Drosophila melanogaster: one gene and its partners. The protein of the gene in region 2 interacts with the protein of the main gene of each other region in a pairwise test. Each region holds a gene or a part of one and is shown on either strand. Other genes may lie near its edges.

The links.
Region 1: the proteins of CG3308 (region 2) and Hakai interact in a two-hybrid assay, tested with the Drosophila melanogaster proteins (one large-scale study listed by BioGRID).
Region 3: the proteins of CG3308 (region 2) and CG2200 interact in a two-hybrid assay, tested with the Drosophila melanogaster proteins (one large-scale study listed by BioGRID).
Region 4: the proteins of CG3308 (region 2) and CG8206 interact in a two-hybrid assay, tested with the Drosophila melanogaster proteins (one large-scale study listed by BioGRID).

Annotation. Positions count from the first base shown.
Region 1 is NT_033779.5:19,580,075-19,584,391, forward strand, and holds Hakai (hakai), read right to left. Parts: upstream 2,401-4,317; 5' UTR 2,297-2,400; coding exon 1,933-2,296; intron 1,830-1,932; coding exon 1,282-1,829; coding exon of another isoform or gene 1,258-1,281; exon of another isoform or gene 1,212-1,257; coding exon 702-1,211; 3' UTR 538-701; downstream 1-537. Other genes in the region: Pmvk (phosphomevalonate kinase), read right to left, coding at 1-56; PCNA2 (proliferating cell nuclear antigen 2), read right to left, coding at 2,952-3,611, 3,746-3,853; CG10366 (uncharacterized protein), read left to right, coding at 4,272-4,317.
Region 2 is NT_033777.3:21,270,572-21,275,726, forward strand, and holds CG3308 (uncharacterized protein), read right to left. Parts: upstream 3,247-5,155; 5' UTR 2,960-3,246; coding exon 2,770-2,959; intron 2,265-2,769; coding exon 1,916-2,264; intron 1,866-1,915; coding exon 1,584-1,865; intron 1,523-1,583; coding exon 1,384-1,522; 3' UTR 507-1,383; downstream 1-506. Other genes in the region: Idi (Isopentenyl-diphosphate delta isomerase), read left to right, coding at 16-471; CG3301 (uncharacterized protein), read right to left, coding at 4,830-5,009, 5,068-5,155.
Region 3 is NC_004354.4:13,092,453-13,096,245, forward strand, and holds CG2200 (uncharacterized protein), read left to right. Parts: upstream 1-1,846; 5' UTR 1,847-2,120; coding exon 2,121-2,221; intron 2,222-2,320; coding exon 2,321-2,881; intron 2,882-2,992; coding exon 2,993-3,053; 3' UTR 3,054-3,280; downstream 3,281-3,793. Other genes in the region: lic (licorne), read left to right, coding at 1-34, 708-926. UniProt on the Drosophila melanogaster protein: Hydrolyzes dipeptides containing N-terminal aspartate residues.
Region 4 is NC_004354.4:15,737,421-15,740,953, reverse strand, and holds CG8206 (uncharacterized protein), read right to left. Parts: upstream 1,725-3,533; 5' UTR 1,552-1,724; coding exon 976-1,551; 3' UTR 537-975; downstream 1-536. Other genes in the region: CG11679 (uncharacterized protein), read left to right, coding at 2,128-3,390.

The DNA of each region.
Region 1 (4,317 bases), on a different chromosome or scaffold from region 2:
GATATGTAATCCTTGCCGCACTTTCGCTTGCCGCTGATGAGTACAATTTTCATCATTTTTCTGGCGCAACTTTCACTTTTGCTCGCCAACTTCTTTCACAACCGCTGCTTCTCCTGCTGCTTCTGCTTGTGGCCTCGATTTCCTAAGTTCTACGCTGTGCTCATCAGATACTGGATGTGGTTGTGTTCACCCTGGGCCCTGCCACTTGACTCCGGCACTGCGGCCTGTTGTGTTTATGCTAATGCTCCATTCGAAGTCTGTGCTCCAAGTCGCATTTGTTTACCTTTTGTATTTCGCTGGAACAGCAACCAGCTGGAGCGTATCGTCATCGATAGGCGGCCAATCGAGCGGGCTTTTTGAATTTCATTCAGCTCGAGTGGAAACCGTACCGTCATCGATTGGCCGCCAATCGGGCGGGATTTTTGAATTTCGTTCAGCTTGAGAACCGCAAAGGTATTCATAAAATTGTTATCCTGATTTGTTCGCCACGATAACCACTTCACTACTACATTAAGAATTAAGTTTAGCCCAAGCTTTAAAACCGGAGTAGCATTTATTTTTTGGTTCGGGTTGGCCTAACCCCGTAAAATATCTTTAATAGTGTTCAGTTCAGCTTAACATACACTTGTTCACTTAATTAAAAGCCTGCGTGCCTGCGTTAAAGCGTCTACCCTGGTTACTAGCCCCTCGCTTTCGTCCCCCTATCTGTAGTATTGCGACTGCTGCCAGTTGCCACTCGAGCCACCAGTTGGCGCGTCGGTGGAGCCTCCAATCAGGGCACCTGGGCCAACAGCGGAATGGCTGCCACTCGGATTGGCGGGCTGTGCTGCTGCTGTTGCCCCACCGCCGGGTGGCCCAGAACCCGGATTCCCGGCCGCACTGCCAAAGGAGGCGAGCACGCTGCTGTAGTAGGAGGCATCCGCCACCGACTCGGACTGGTGGGGCGTGCCCTTCTTGAGCGTGTGGTGCAGCGAGGCCTTGCCCTGGTGACATTCCTGCGCATTGGCATTGTTGATCCTGGTCAAATTGGCCAGCGTGAGCGTCGAGTGGCCGCCGTGGATGGCGTTTTGGGCGGCGGCGGCGGATCCTGGTGGCGGTATACTACCAATACTACCGATGTTACCGACACCGCCGGTCAGTGGCAGCCGCGACAGGACGGGACGGGACGCAATGGAGGCGGAAACGGATATGGGGACAGACGACTCGGAGAGCTGCAAGGGGCAAGCGGTTGTTTTTTTATAGACAGGACAGCTTAGTTTAGGAGCCATAGCTACCACTCGCCTTGCGCTGCTTGTGCAACTCCAGGCCCAGACCGACGCCGCCCAGATCCGTCATTTTTGGCTGCTCCGCCATGGCTGACAGCTGCGGCTGTGGCTGCAACGGTGGCGGCTGCGGCGCCACATGTCTGTGATTGATGTGCGCCTGCAGGTCGCGTTGCGAAAGGTATGTTCTACGGCAGCCGGAGCTGCCGTAGCGACTGCCGCCGTGCGTGCACATGAACACGGTGCCCAGGCCACTCTGCTCCACGCGCAACACCTTGTCCGTGCAGCGGGGACAACTCTTGATGGGCTCGGCGCGGGCGCACTTGAGGCAAAATACATGCTTGCAGGGTATCATGCGGCCGTAGACGAGGATCGGCTTGTCGCACTGATCGCAGCAGTGGATCATCGGGTTCAGCACCTTCTCGCCGATCAGGCTCACCTTGTGGTTCCACTTAAGGCGCAGCATCGGCTCCGGCGGTCCGCGCGAAAGCGTGGTGAAAGTGGGCGCCTCCAGTTGCGATATGTCCGCCTCCATGTCGACTGCGCGGGCGAGAGATAGCGAGATAGCTTTGTTCAATGCTTCAAGTTTGGATACCAAGGAATTGGTCAAGCCAAGATGTTAATCAATTTAACTATCTTGGACAACCATTCAATAGGGGAGGAGACTCACTTGTTTGGCTCATCACGGGCGGTGGCACTTGCTGCAGGACCTGTGGCTGTTGCGTCGCTGGAGTCATGTTCCCGCTGGCGGCGACCGCTCCTAGCGCACCGTGCGGCAGGGGCTCCTCCAGAGCGCCGGGCGTTTCCAGTTCGCCGTCCTTGTCGAGCTCCTGCATGACCGAATCTTCGGAGGCGTCCAGTCTTCCCGGACTGTCCTCCAGGGCTGCACAGCTGCTGGCCGCCAGGGCTGCGGCGTCGGCGATGCTGCTGTCGTCGATTTTCTTGCCACGACCGCGTCCTCGGCCACGTCCGCGCCCGCGAGCCCTGGTGCCACGCCCTCGTCCGCGGCCGCGCTTCACTTCCTCGGTGTCCATTGTTCACTTGTACTTGCGTGGGATTTTATGCCGGTTTTTAAGTTTTTCGGTTTTTGTTTAGCTCCGCATTTGCGTTTGGCCAGGGTTGTCAGCTGTTCCCACATACGTGCAGTAACTTAGGGTGACCAGTCTGCGCCTAACAACACTGGCCATCAAAAGGTCCGGCATCACTGGTCAGTTTAAAATACAATATTTTTACTTGTTTAATTTTAATTTTATCTGTTTTTCAATTATTTTTAAACTAATTTGAATTTAATGAATGTAAAAAAAAACATAAAAAAAAACAATAATTATAAGCATCTATTTAACCGTTCTTGTATCATATTAATAGCTTACTAATTTCTTTTGTAGCTTCAACATGAAAAAACAAAAGTATTCTGAATAGAAAATGTGAGATCTACATTAAGATAACCTTAAAAACTTAATAATAATTAATAACAAGGTTTAAAATTAGTTTTTTCGTATATAAATTTGAATTTGTAAAATGTTTTTTTAATTACAATTAAATAGTTTTTATTACAAGTTATATTTTTATACTATGCTTTAAAAAAAATGATTTTTGGTATTTGTTGCCTAAAAATATCGTTTATCCCCTTTCCTTATGCTTTAAATTGCGCTCGAATTTATGCAATAACTGAGTTGAGTAGTTCTTCAGCTAGAAATCGGGGTCATTCACCTTGGGTGCAAGGTAGTATCGAATGTGGCCGTAATCCTCGATGGGATACTCCACCAGGAGTGGCCGCTCGTCGGACAGGTAGAGCTTGACGCGATCTGCCAGCGGAGTGGCCTTGGTGAAGGTGTTGAGGTAGCGACCGGCGAAGGACTGGGTCACGGGCTCCTGCACCTCAATGCTCACGTCCATGGCGGTGCCCGCACTCAGCTGAATGTTGGCCGTGCCCAGATCTCCCTTGGCCAAGAACCTGATGCCCTTCGAGGAGCAGGCGATCGTCAGGGACTCGTCGAACATGCTCATGTCCCGGCAAATGCGCGCGAACTCTGACGACGGCAACTGGATGAAGCAGGTGTAGTCCTTTTTCGGAATCTCCATGTGATCCTGGTCCAGATTGAGGAGCTTCAGCTCGTAGTCCGCCGTGCGCTCCTTGCCATCCGACTCGAAGCTGAGCGTAATCTTCTCCGGTCTGTCAACGGCCTTAATGGTGACCGCATCGTCGCTATTGGCGCACTTAAGCACCTTGCCCAGGGATTTCAGATCCAAGCCCAGCGAGACATTGCGATCGCAGTGAAACTTTTCAAAACAATCCGAAGCCAGACTTAGGGCCACCAGCGAAACGTGGGAGTTGTCCATCGATTGCAGCTGGAATATAGAGTTGTAAAAGCTTTATTTCTTATCTCAACTTTTCATTTTCAGTCCCAAGTCTCAATGGAACTACTTAACAGCTTTTATGGGAATTCGAAACAAAATGACAGATGGAGGGTTATTCTCTTCACCTCCAGACCATTTTCACTGCAGTCCAGCGTTCCCTGGGCGATGATTTCCTTTAGTGCATCGACGATCTTCTTCAGCAGCAAAGTCTGACTCAAACGCGCCTCGAGCATTTTTCCAATTTTCAAAATTGACAATCGCTGTCCCGTTAAATTCACAATTGGAAACAAACAAAATGAAGCCAGTCAGCTGTTTCGCTGCAAGTGTAGAGATGCCGGACTGCTGCGGAGTTAAGAACAAAGCTTGTTAGATTAGTTTCGGTTGCGGATTTAAGTTCATTTGATGTCTGATGATGAAGCTAGTGAACATAGATCTTAGAATTTGACTTAAAGCTGTAGGTTAATCCTTTTCTATTTAAGGGTATCCAATTGAAATCACTTAATCCGACTGATCTGGCAGCATCTGCAACACTGGTTCCGGCTCCAGTTCTAGTTCGAGATCCAGTTCCAGCTCGGATCCAGCCATCCAATCCAATATGTTTACGCTTTATTTATTTATTTGTTTATTTATAACCAACTGCTGAGCTCCCCGATGGCCGCCGCGCAGGTGGAGATGCACGCTGCTCCGGCGGCTCCCC
Region 2 (5,155 bases):
CCTCTGTATCCTTAGATAACCTTCCCAAACACCTACACCAACGCGTGCTGCAGCCATCCGCTTTACGAAATCGAACAGGAACGTCAGGAGCGCAACGCACAGGGCATCCGTGTGGCCGCTCAACGACGTCTCAACTACGAACTGGGCATTCCCACAGAGGAACTGCAGCCACAGGACTTTCGCTACCTGACCCGCATCCACTACGCAGACACGGGCGACGGCGTGTGGGGCGAGCACGAGATAGACTACATCCTGTTCCTGCAAAAAGACGTGACGCTGCGTCCAAATAGCAACGAGGTCAGTGAGGTGCGCTACTTGCGCCGCGATAAGATCGACGAGGCGGTGGCGAAGTTTAGTGCCCCGCTGACACCCTGGTTCTCTCTGATTCTGCAGCATCGATTGAAACTCTGGTGGGACAATTTGCACCAGCTGGAGCAATTTGAGGACTTGAGTAATATTCAGCGCTTTTAAGTGTGCTAACCAACCAAAAATACACGTAATGACGTCTAAAAGGGGCTTTTGTTCGTTTGGGTTTCAAATTCGCTTTATTCAAATGGAAAATAGTGTGTGTCTGTGTGCGGACAATGGGCACAAAGCGGATTTTATGCAACCTCCGCGGGTCGATCAGTTCAGTACAACGCTTTTGTATATGTAAATATAACAATACATATATAGTTTGTATAGGCGCACGATATTCAATATGTTTCATAGCCTAACTAATGTGTTTGTATGTTGAATATCAAATAACTAATTAGCTTTTAAAATGATCACATTACGTTTCCCATAATCATCATCATCATCGTCATCGTCGCAACAAGAATAAATATGTACAAAAGTACGACTACAGGCTAACAGAGACACAAACTAAAAGTATTGATTCTAGCCTAAATACAGAAGAAACAAACAAAAGACAAGCTGCAGCACTTAACATTAACATATATCGCTTCGGGAGCGAGTTCGAAGCGCGCGCTTCGAGGCGTGAAGTGCAGACCCCGGGCGAATCCGGAGTCGACGTTCACGAGGCACCACCTTGGCACCGTTTCTCTGGGTACTCGAGTAAATAAAGCAATTGCTCGGAAATTCCAACAACTTAAAGCTAGACCCTGCAAACTTCGATCGATGGTTTGCACCTTTACGGCAGGGGGTGAATATATAGTTATATACGTATACGTACTTTTCGCATGCAATGGGGGTCGTATTTGTGGATGTGTGTATGTGTGGGGATCAGGATAAGCGCTTCATCCTGAATTCGATTAGTGGTTAAGGCACATAGGTATGAGTCTATCGTGAATCTCAGGCTCGTTGAATCTATAGAGTTACGGGTTTAAAGCTGCTGGGTGGCACACTTTGTCGTTCAGTTCCATGTGGCTCCTTTACCATTTTCTAGGACAAGCCAAACAGTTTCAGGGCATTAAAGGCAGTGGCCAAAGCCACCTCGTCCGGGCTTTTCTTCATGAAGGCGGCTATCATCTCTACAATGGCGGGCAAACTGCACGGCTCGTTGCGTTGGAAGGTACAATATCTGGAAGGTATTTTGAACTAATAGAAGAGTGACCTATTTTGGTACTTTTTACTTCGCCCACCTGTGTAAGTACAACAATGAGCGTTCGGTGATACCAGTCTTCACGTGTTGCGGTAGCTTGGAAGCCCTTGTGTTTGGGTACATGAAAGGAGCATCCGTCTCCACCAGTAGTCTGTCTAGCGGCAATGTGCCGTCCTCCAGCAGGCGGCGAACGCCAGTATCCGATTTGTCCTTGCACAGGTAGCCCGTCAGGCTGATGTAGAACCTCCGGTCTAGGTACTTAAGCGCCTCCTCGGCGGTGCCCATAAAACCTCTGATGATCACAGGCGGAAGATTCTCGAATCTGCGCGGGGAACAATTTAAAGTTTTGTAAACCAAATCTACGGCTCTTACTTGTCTAGTATTTCGAGTAAATCGAGCTGAGCCGACCGCTCGTGGATCAGCAGAGGTTTATTTAGCCGGATGGCCAGATGCAGCTGCTTGGCGAAGATCTGCTTCTGGGCGTCCGGTTCGGAGAAGTCCCGCTGGTAGTCCAAGCCGCAGGGGCCAATCGCCACACACTCCTGCGCCTGGGCGATGTGCTCCAGATCGAACCACGTGGCCGGCTCTTCCACGATGGACTTGGAGTCGTGCGGGTGAATGCCAGCAGTTGAGTAGATTATGTCGGGATAGATGCGCGAAAGGCGCAGCGCTTCCTTGCTCGATTTGACCGAAGTGCCGTGAACCATTAGTTTCTGGACACCTGCAACAAGAAAGGCGGGAGAAAGTTAGTGCAACGTTCACTGGGCTACAGACTTGTGTACAAAAGAGAAAATATGTGACTTCTGTTTGCTTTCGATCAGATACTCTTATCAGCATTGTAATGTATCCCTTTAAGTAAATGTATTTAAAAAACAAATTTTTTGTTGAATATCAAATCAAATATGTAAAGAGAATTTATCTCTTACATATATTTAAATGTTTATAGTTTCCTTTAAAAATTTATCCTATGCAAATATTGTTGTGTTGACATCTTGGTTATTTGGTTTTTAATCTCCAGCTACGTTCCCATTGAATTTGTAATGCCATCTCCCAGGGCACATATGTACATGCATACATATATCAAAACACAGGCACACTTGTTGCTCGCCAATAGCCCGACCTTCTGGCTGTCTGGGTGTTTTCGCAGCCTCGCCCCAGAACGAAGACACTGCCCGGGTCTTATTAATTATGCCTGCACATGTAGTATCTGATGCTGGCATACAAACCTGCGTCTCTGGCTCTCTGCACCACGGAATCCAGATCACGGCTATACTTCTTGTTGGTCAGATTCGCACCCACGTCGATGACGATCAGGTTCTCAAAGCAGTGCTTCATGTCCAATTCCAGCTGATCCTCCAGCAGCGGGGCCACGGGGGCCACCACCGTCTCCTGGGGCGTCTGTTGACTGGGGTCCATGTTCTGGATCGGAATCTTGGATCTATTATCGACGAAAATAGCTTATGACGCAGGCGATGGATTGCTGGGCTGCGACTGTGTGCGTGGGTAATTCAATTAGCTTGTTTTTGAGGGCGCAAGGAAACGCGACGGCGGTGAAAGCCGTGAAATGTGGATCTACTGAATTTGTTGGAATTTGGAAGAGTTGACCAATTCGGCAATCAATGGTCTAAAAGTTGAGAAATATTAATCTAAAAAACAATCCCGACACGAACTACAACTGCTGGCTAGAGTTGAACAACGTCTGCAGAACGGGTCAGTGCAGGTACTACACTCTGCATGCAATCGATAGTCGGAATCGATACGTAGCACCAAATTATATCGTGTTTGAATTTAAATTGTTATCAAAATAAATATTATGTAATAAAATTCAGTCCAATTATTTGATATAAATATATTTGTTTCATGTATATAGTAGAATTCCGATCATCAATAGTAACATCTTAAGACAAATAATTAAATATTTCACAATACCATACCAGAAGTCGCAACTAAATATAACTGAGTCGAATTTTTTGTTTCGGCAACAGTCATTGTTTTTGGGGATTTAAAACCCAAGCCCACACACTTGCACCGACCCCACCTTCAGTTTTGGTTAAACAAACGAACAAATGAGAATAATGTTTTCATTATATTCTTTCCAAACACCTGCAAGATTATTTAACTAAAACGATTCATTGTATTCAAGTGCGATTGTTTATTTATTTGAGTTGGCCCACACAAAGCTTGTTCATTTTTTTTTATCAAGAAACAAAGGTTTAAACAAGTTCGCCCACGGCTTGATAGTGAGTGTAATATGATATTGCACCGGCTCAATCCTCTATTCTCAGCTTGTGTATGCCGGTGTTCCATGCCACTGATTATTTACGTATCTACAATGGTTAGCAGATGCTCTAAGGGGGAAACTCATTATAATAAACACATCCAACCTACTACTTCCAACAGGCATATTATATTGAGTTCCCCTGTTGATAAACTCTTGTCGGAAGACTTCTGCAATGTACTCCTGGTGCAATGGTATCTAGAACGGTATTGTTATCAGATCATCCGAGTTTCCCTCTATCATAATGTTTTTACTTAACATCAGCACCACCCAAACTCTTATCGATTCAAGAAAATGTACCAAAAAGGGTCACCATTGGTGACATCGCAGGGGGAAAATGGAAGCCAGCTTGCTGATGGCAGTGGAGGAGTTCATCTTCTGGAGACAGTTCACCCTTTTGGCTGGAACTATCAACCACACTCCCTTGGCCATCAGCTGCAGACAGCACTCATCTGCATATGTCTTTCGGCAGTGCGACTTGTTTTCGAATTAACTCTTATCTTTTGGGTACATTTTTAAAATTATAAGCATAATCGTCTGGGGTGGATTGACTACTTAATAGATAATTCCCAATGTCGCAGTATCATTGGAATTAATTGGATTTTTTTTGGATCTGAAGAGACCATTAACAATTCCTGAATAATAAATTCCTATCTACATATATTTCGGAGTCACCCTAATCGATAAATAATAGCGAGGGTGTTTGTCTAGGTAAATTTTGATATCAAATATTCTTATTAAAAATGGGTAGATAAAGATTTATACCGGATTATTCATCATTAAAAATGTTCCCGACGAACAAACGGGTTTAATAGAAAGGCGTCTTGAACGTTGGGGTAAGCAAAAACCAGTTGAGCCCGGTTTCCATGTTGAGATAAAAGAGCGACCTTGGGTGTATTTTTTCTCTATTAATTAAACATGTACATTTTTTATTTGTTTACACTGCTATTGAAAAGATATTTGTGTATTTGTTCAAATAACTTACTTGGTCACTTGGAAGTGGTCACTTCAAAAGCCCTCACCAACCGGCTTGATTATGAGCTCCTTTATCTGGACAGTTGGGGGCGTCTGGATGCAGTAGGTCACCGCATCGGCTATATCCTCCGATCGCAGCATGGGCATGCCTGTGGGTTGCTCCCAGGATCCGGCTTCGAAAATTTCAGTGGCCACTACACCAGGACTGATGCTCTAAAATACGTACATCATTAGAAGTTCTCATGCGAACTGGATGAGCAAGGTCACTTACCGTGATCTTTGTTTGAGTGCCCTTCTTGATGAACTCCTGACGCAGGATTTCGGTCAAGGCGGTGATCGCGTGTTTGGAGGGCGCGTAC
Region 3 (3,793 bases), on a different chromosome or scaffold from region 2:
CAATTGGCGAACGCCATTTGAGCAACTGCGTCAGGTGAGTGCCTACCTCTGGCTGGTAACTGTCACAAAGAGGATCTTCAAGATTTTTCCGGACAAAATATGTGTCATTTAGTCAATTTGGGATTTTAGGTCCTAATTATACAAAGGCTACCGATCCGATAATGTATTCCATCTTATCATATATGTAATGAACATTTGGATTTTTCCAATTGTGGTAGCTAAAAGCTTTTAAGAAGGGTGGAATTTCTAAAAATTTGATAATTAATAATCAATTGACACGTTTGATTGGAGCTTATGTTTTTTCACAGATAATCCGTCGAAAATAGTATAAAAATAGTAGTTATAGCCACTCATAATCATATACGAAGCAAATGCTGAGTATTATTATTTCCTGCTAATGATTTTGTTAATATTAATGTCAAGAACCAACTTTCGTTACATAACTTATTGGGGGCTCACAAATAACTATTAAGTAATTTTAATTAAAAATATAACCACTTGTTCTCAAGCACTTTACACGTACAATAAACTCTAAAAAAAACCATTAGTAATGTGCCAAGCTGCTGTGGTTATCAGAATACTAAACAAAACTATTAATAAACATACAGAATGAGGCTTTTATCAGAGGGATTTTGTAACCGATCTAAACCACAAGTTTTCGCATCGTGCGTAATTAAGAACCTATTTTTTTTTTTATTATCTTTTAGGTGGTTGAGGACAGTCCGCCGCGCCTGCCGGAGGGAACATTTTCGCCGGAATTCGAGGACTTCATCGCCGTCTGCCTGCAGAAGGAGTATATGGCAAGGCCCAACTACGAGCAGCTGCTCAAGCACAGCTTCATCGTGGAGCACCTGCAGCGCAACACGGACATCTCGGAGTTCGTGGCCAGGATACTGGATCTGCCCGACGCGCAGCCGGCGCAGTAGGTTAATGGCCGGGTAGCAGGTTAATGGTTAACCCATGGCGCCGCCCCCTTAACCCCTTAAGCCGTGCCCGTGCCCGTGTAAATTGCCGCCGTCTTCTTCTAGCATGCATTTCGTACATGTTGTGTGTGTGTCCCCCGTCTGTGTGACAGCAAAAGGAATAAAACTTTATTTGAATGGAGTCCAAGGAAACCCCAAAAACAAACCCAACAGCAATCAGCAATAAGCGTCAGCTAATCTAAAGATACAAAATGGAAAGTGCATAATTATTAATTTAAGTGAGAGAAGCAACAGCAACATAACCGTTACTAGCAAACCTGCAATATGCATAATGCAACAATCGCCTTGCAACGCTCAAAAATGGATAACCGAACCGTGCCTCCCAGCTGGCGATGCTGCTGATGTCTTGAAGCATAATACCATTTTAATATATATTTTTAAATGAGAATAGCTTAGTCAACGAAAAACAAGAACAGAAGCAAGCAAAGCATTGAATGTAAAAACGTACTAAACTTAAATGATAATTTGTGAACTTTTGAACACCAAAATAGTCGAAAAGAAAGTGTTTATAATTATAATTGTTTAACAAATATATATTACGTAAAATAGCTAAATCCTGTTGTATTTGTATGAGAAATATTCGTTGCAAATGGTGAAAATTCTCAATGTGATTGGTATCACAATCTTAAGAATTTTGTTATTGCCTAAATGGGCAAATAAAACCAAATACTCCAGCTGAAATTCAAAAATTGCGGCCGATTTCAGTGCATCATGAGTGCAACGATGCACCAAATGGAAATCGTAGATATGTATGTACATATATAGATATATGGTATCGATAGCTTTTCATCTGGTATCAGGGTTCCATTGACGTGGAGAACCTTTGCGATTTGCAAGGCATTCCCGCACTACGTGAGTTTCCTATCGATATCGAAGAACTCGCAGATACGCAGAGTATTTACTTTATACAGCTAATGGAGTGGTTAAATTTCTGGAAAATAAACCCCTTTCATGGAATTTCACCCACACCCATGCTTTTCCGGCGCCTTGTGATAAGCTCGCATGGAGGAGTTACTTGCTCCGATATTTCTGGAGCCCATCCCTAGCGGCTGGCCATAAAACCCTGATAATCTTCTGGTCGACTGGCTGAACCATCCAGTGAACCATCCATTGGCCCACGATTAGATTGCTAAAGAAATGGCCAGTGCACGGAACCTATTGTTGCTATCCTCGTCGCGTTTGCACGGCCATGGATACTTGGAGCATGCGCGCGGCCAGCTGGAGGATCTCTTCAAGAGGTAGGTGACTTACCATTTGAGATATGTACATTATTATTCTTTTACAACAAAGTGAATTCTTTCATTGGTAAATTGAACAAACCCTCCGATTCCTTGCAGTGCCAATGTGAAGACCGTGCTCTTTGTGCCCTACGCTCTGCGGGATCACGACAAGTACACTGCCACCGTGCGCGATGCACTGCAGCCGTGGGGATTCAATGTGGAGGGACTGCACACGAAGCCGGATCGCGAGCAGGCATTGCGGGAGGCACAGGCCATCTTTGTGGGCGGCGGCAACACCTTTGTGCTGCTGCGTTCGCTCTACGAGATGAAGTTGCTCGATCCGATTAGGGAACTGGTGCTCCAGCGTGGATTGCCTTACGTGGGCAGCAGTGCGGGCACAAATGTGGCAACTCGATCCATTCACACCACCAACGACATGCCGGTGGCCTATCCGCCGAGCTTTGAGGCACTCGCCCTCGTTCCCTTCAACATCAATCCGCACTATCTGGATCCGGAGGCGGGTAGTCGGCACAAGGGCGAGACGCGAGACGAGCGGCTGGAGGAGTTCGTCGCATACCATGGACTGCCCGTGCTGGGTCTTCGCGAGGGCACCAGTGTCCGGGTTCAGGGCGAGAAGGCCATCCTCCTGGGCGATCGCAATGCCAAGCTGTTCAAGGCGTAAGTACACACTTCCAATCGGACAAATTGGGTTTCATGGTTTCTTACATTCAAATAACTTTAATGTTATTTATACAATTTAAATGTAATTTATTTTCGTTTATTTTTCAGTGACGGTGGCACCGAGGAGCTAGCACCCCTAGCGGATCTCACCTTCCTGCTGCAGAAATAACCAAGCAAAACGATCGAATTAAAGAGAACATTGATGTTTATTGTACATATGCACATTCATAATTTGTTTTATTCTGCAATAACAACAATTCCTACACGTAAGCAGTACACATACAGTAGTTGTACACTATGACTAAATGTATAAAAAGTTTGGATAGAGGTATAACCCCTGACGAGTGTACATATATCTAATAAATTTTGTAATAAATTAATCGGATTTCCCCTCGTAAATCGTAATGATAAGAATTTGACTGGCAGACTTCTTATTCGATGCTAAAACTGATGTGCTGGCAAAATGATCAAATGGATAACATGGATACACTAACAATGGACATCGGCTAAATGAAACTGGCAAGCACTTAAACAATATATATATTTTTTTTTATTTACAATGGGCTTTTTCATTGCCACAAAAGCCCTGATAGCTAGCAATACTTTTGGATTGTTATTTTGTAGGCAAAGTTTCGATAGAATTATGGTTTATGTTTTCAGGCAGCCGATGCTAAGACTTAAGCTCTAACTTTTAAAGAGGAACACGGTCAAAGTAAGCACTCCCCGATTTAGACCAGTTTTTTAACAGTAATTCCTTTTTGTTTTTTGTTTTTTTTTTTGGCACACCGTCTTTGAGAGAGCCCATTTATACAGGGATTGTAACACTTTGAGGCAAGGCGGCATCTGGTTATTTGTCGTACAGCCAAATCGTTCGTTTCACTTAGATTAGTTTAGTTGTATAACACTTAG
Region 4 (3,533 bases), on a different chromosome or scaffold from region 2:
TAATGAAGTTTCAAATGAAGTTAATTAATTTAGATGTCAAGAGATGGATGTAACAGTTGGTAGAACCACTTGGCAATAACTACAGACTCCGTGGGCTTACTATCTTCCGTCCACATGCCATCAGCGCACAAAATCCGTTGTTGTTAGCCAATTTGGGGGCATATCTCTTAGGGATTCGGCGGCCCCTTACGACGCAGAAAAGATCACTCGACAGGGGCGTGTTTTTCATACTTATATGTATTTATATATGGTATGCATTAGTGTCTAGCCCCAAAGCCGTATCTATACCTACCAATCCGGCACATTTCACCATTGCGTAGCCAGGCCGGCAGCGTGCCAATTTTTATTGTTGCGATAATTAGCACTCCGGCTGTGTTTTGATCGATCCGATCAATTAGCGAGCGGCCACCGAGCCCCTTCGGCTTCTACCGGCTTCTAGGGCTCTCCAGATAAATAAATGAGTCCACTTTTGACTGGGCACGTCTAGTATATATGCGTGTGCGTACACAGAAAAAAAAACCTGGTCAATATAAGATAGGCACGGCGTATATTGACAAAAATTGATGGCTTGTAGCCAAAACTTGATGATTGTACATATACATATGTATTTTAACATTTATATCAACAATGAGACATTTTTCTTTCTGTGCACCCTGATTAGATAGTCTACAGCGGAATAACAGATTTAGCCATATACAATGTTTGTTTTTTGCTTTTGAACTGGTCGTTCCTTTAATCACTTTTTTAGGCATTACTCACGGCCCGAAACAATCAACAATTACAGTACAATTATTATATACAGCCGTCTGAGCTCGGAAACAGAATGTGGGATTCCGGTTTGCAGTTGGGTACTTGGGTGCTTGGTTGCTTGGGTTCAATGTGCCACCCCGTGTCGAGTGTGTCCTCCTCAGACACGATTCGCAGGTTGACGGCACCAGGTTCTCACCTCTACTGATGCCCCTTTGACTAGAGTTCCTAAATCAGCTCGCCGCGCTCGTTCACCTTGATCACCCGGACGCGGGCATGCCGGTCGGCCAGCACCTGGTCGATATTCTTGCTGGTACTGATTCCAGAGCTAATGCTGCTATCGCCATCGCTGCCGGTGAACAGTCCCAGATTGTCCTTGATCAGATGGTCGACGGCACAGCCGTCGCACTGTAGGATCACCACGCCGCTGTAGTAGGCCTCTTCGCTGATGGTCTTCGTGTTGCGGGTGTTGCACAGCTTGCAGCGGTACACCAGCTCCATGCGGCGTTGCATGCGTCGGAAGCGCTTCAGTGTCGTCGGCGACAGAGAGCCATTCGCCTGGTTTCCGGACGTGGAGCCTCCCAGGTCAAACTGCTTGGCCGTGAAATGGCACGCATCGAGTATGGAGCGCGGTATGGAAAGCGGTGCTGGACGCGACGATTTTAGGTGCTGCTCGGCATCGTTGGTTAGCGGCACGGCGTCCACCGCTTGTTGCTGCTGGGTGGCGTTGAGGATCGCGTTTTGTCCATTCTGGCGCAAATAGTTGAGAGTTCGCGATGTGAAGATGTTGCGCAATGCGTTCATTTTATGTTGCTACTAAGCGGTGTTGCACATCCGCGTTGCTTTCTGCTCTTGCCGCCCGCTGCAGTGCGTCCTGAATTCTGGCGCCGCACGTGCTGAATGTGGGGTAGTTACTGCGTTTTGTTTTGCCCCAAATGGGGAAGAAAATGGTTAAGTGGAGCGATGAAAACAGCTGATGGCTATCGTTATCGGAGCAGTGCAGGCGGTTGGCCGCTTAAATTCAGTTCTCACATTTTGGCTATTTTGTATCCAGGTTCAGTAATTTGTCTCTATTGGCAGAAGTTTATGTAGTATGAGTTGAAGACTCGTTACAGCATTTCAAAAAGCAAATAACAGAATTTCAACTACCAAATTTGTAGTATAAATACCAAGCAATAATGAAAATTCATAGCTTAGAAATAACTAACGGCCGAAGAACCGAGTTCACCACTGAGTGCCTATCGGATTCGATAATCACAACAAAAGGCAATCGGAGGCCGGCTACTATATTATATAGCCACCAGATACGATTCGTTACCAAACCGATCTCAACTCCCAGAAATGGGCCACTAATTGCTGCTGGAGCATAAATCAAAAGCCATGAACTTTGCACGCCTGAGATTCGGGCAGATGGTCCTTGGAGGACTTCGAATTCCGCGCCAGCAGACGCAGACGCAGTGGATGATGGACCGCCGCCGATGGTTGGCCAGTGAAGCCACCTCATCGGCTGCGGCGCCAGCTCAAGCAGCTTCTGTACCTAGAACTCAAACGCAACCGCGGGTAAAGCCATTGCCGCTAGCCGAGGAGCGCTTGGAGTCGATACTATCGCCCATTCGCACCAGGATCATTCGAAAGAAGCGCTTGGCCATCGATGAACTGTCCGCTTTGGGGTTTCTCAACACCCGTGGTTATACGACCGCCGAGGAGTACAATCTGGAGGATCTGCAGATAGCCCTCCGCGAACAGAACCTGTACGAGACGAAGCGTTTCTTCTCCACAGACAATCTGGACGTGGAGCAGAATGTGCTCTTTGTGGCGGCCAAATATCCGACGGGTCAGCAGCCGCGGGAGATATTCTTCTTCCGCGAGGGCTCGGTGGTCTTTTGGAACTGCAGCGACATCGAGACGAACAATGTGCTAAGTTTCCTGCGCGCCTTCGAAAGGGAATCGTATGTGAGTGCCCTGGTTCACGGGGAGAGCGAGGTGATGCCCTACACCTACATTCCATCGACGGCGGTGGATGTGGAGGGCGATCTGGTGGCGGAGAGCAGCGACTTCAATGTCACGTCACGGGCATTCTTCCAGAATGGCAAGTTCTTTGTTACCGCCGATACGGATAGTTTCCTGTATAAGTACACCTTCTCCAATGCGATGGCACAGTCAATAAAGCTGGGCATGTGGGAGGCGACACTGGACCGCTACATAGACTCCATAGAGCATCTCACCGAGGATCTAAAGCGTGGTCGCCGATTAAGAATCTCGCGGGCGGCCATGCTGCGAAAAACCGGTGAATTATTTGCCCTGCGTCATGTGATCAACCTGTCGTCGGATCTGCTGGATGCACCCGATTTCTACTGGGACCGCGAGGAACTGGAGGCACTCTACCTGCAGGTGTGCTCCTACTTCAGCATCTCACGGCGCACCAAGGTGATGAACGAGAAGATCAACCACTGCGTGGAACTGGCCGAGCTGGTGTCCCACAATCTGAACGATGCCCATCATATCCGGCTCGAGTGGATGATCATAATCCTGATCATGGTAGAGGTGGGCTTCGAAGTGCTGCACTTCGTCAGCGATCACAGTGATTCGCATAAGCTAGAGGTCCTGCCACTGGCTGCTCCTGCCGCCTCGATTCCCAATTAGCAAGTAGGCTTGGTCGATAGTTTTTTGTACTATATTTGTATTTTGACGAAATATAGAATTGTTAGCGTTCCAAAAGTTTGTTTGATCTGTGCTCTATTTTTTTTTTGTCCTTTTTAATTTGTTGTTGCCCGTTAAAAACACCA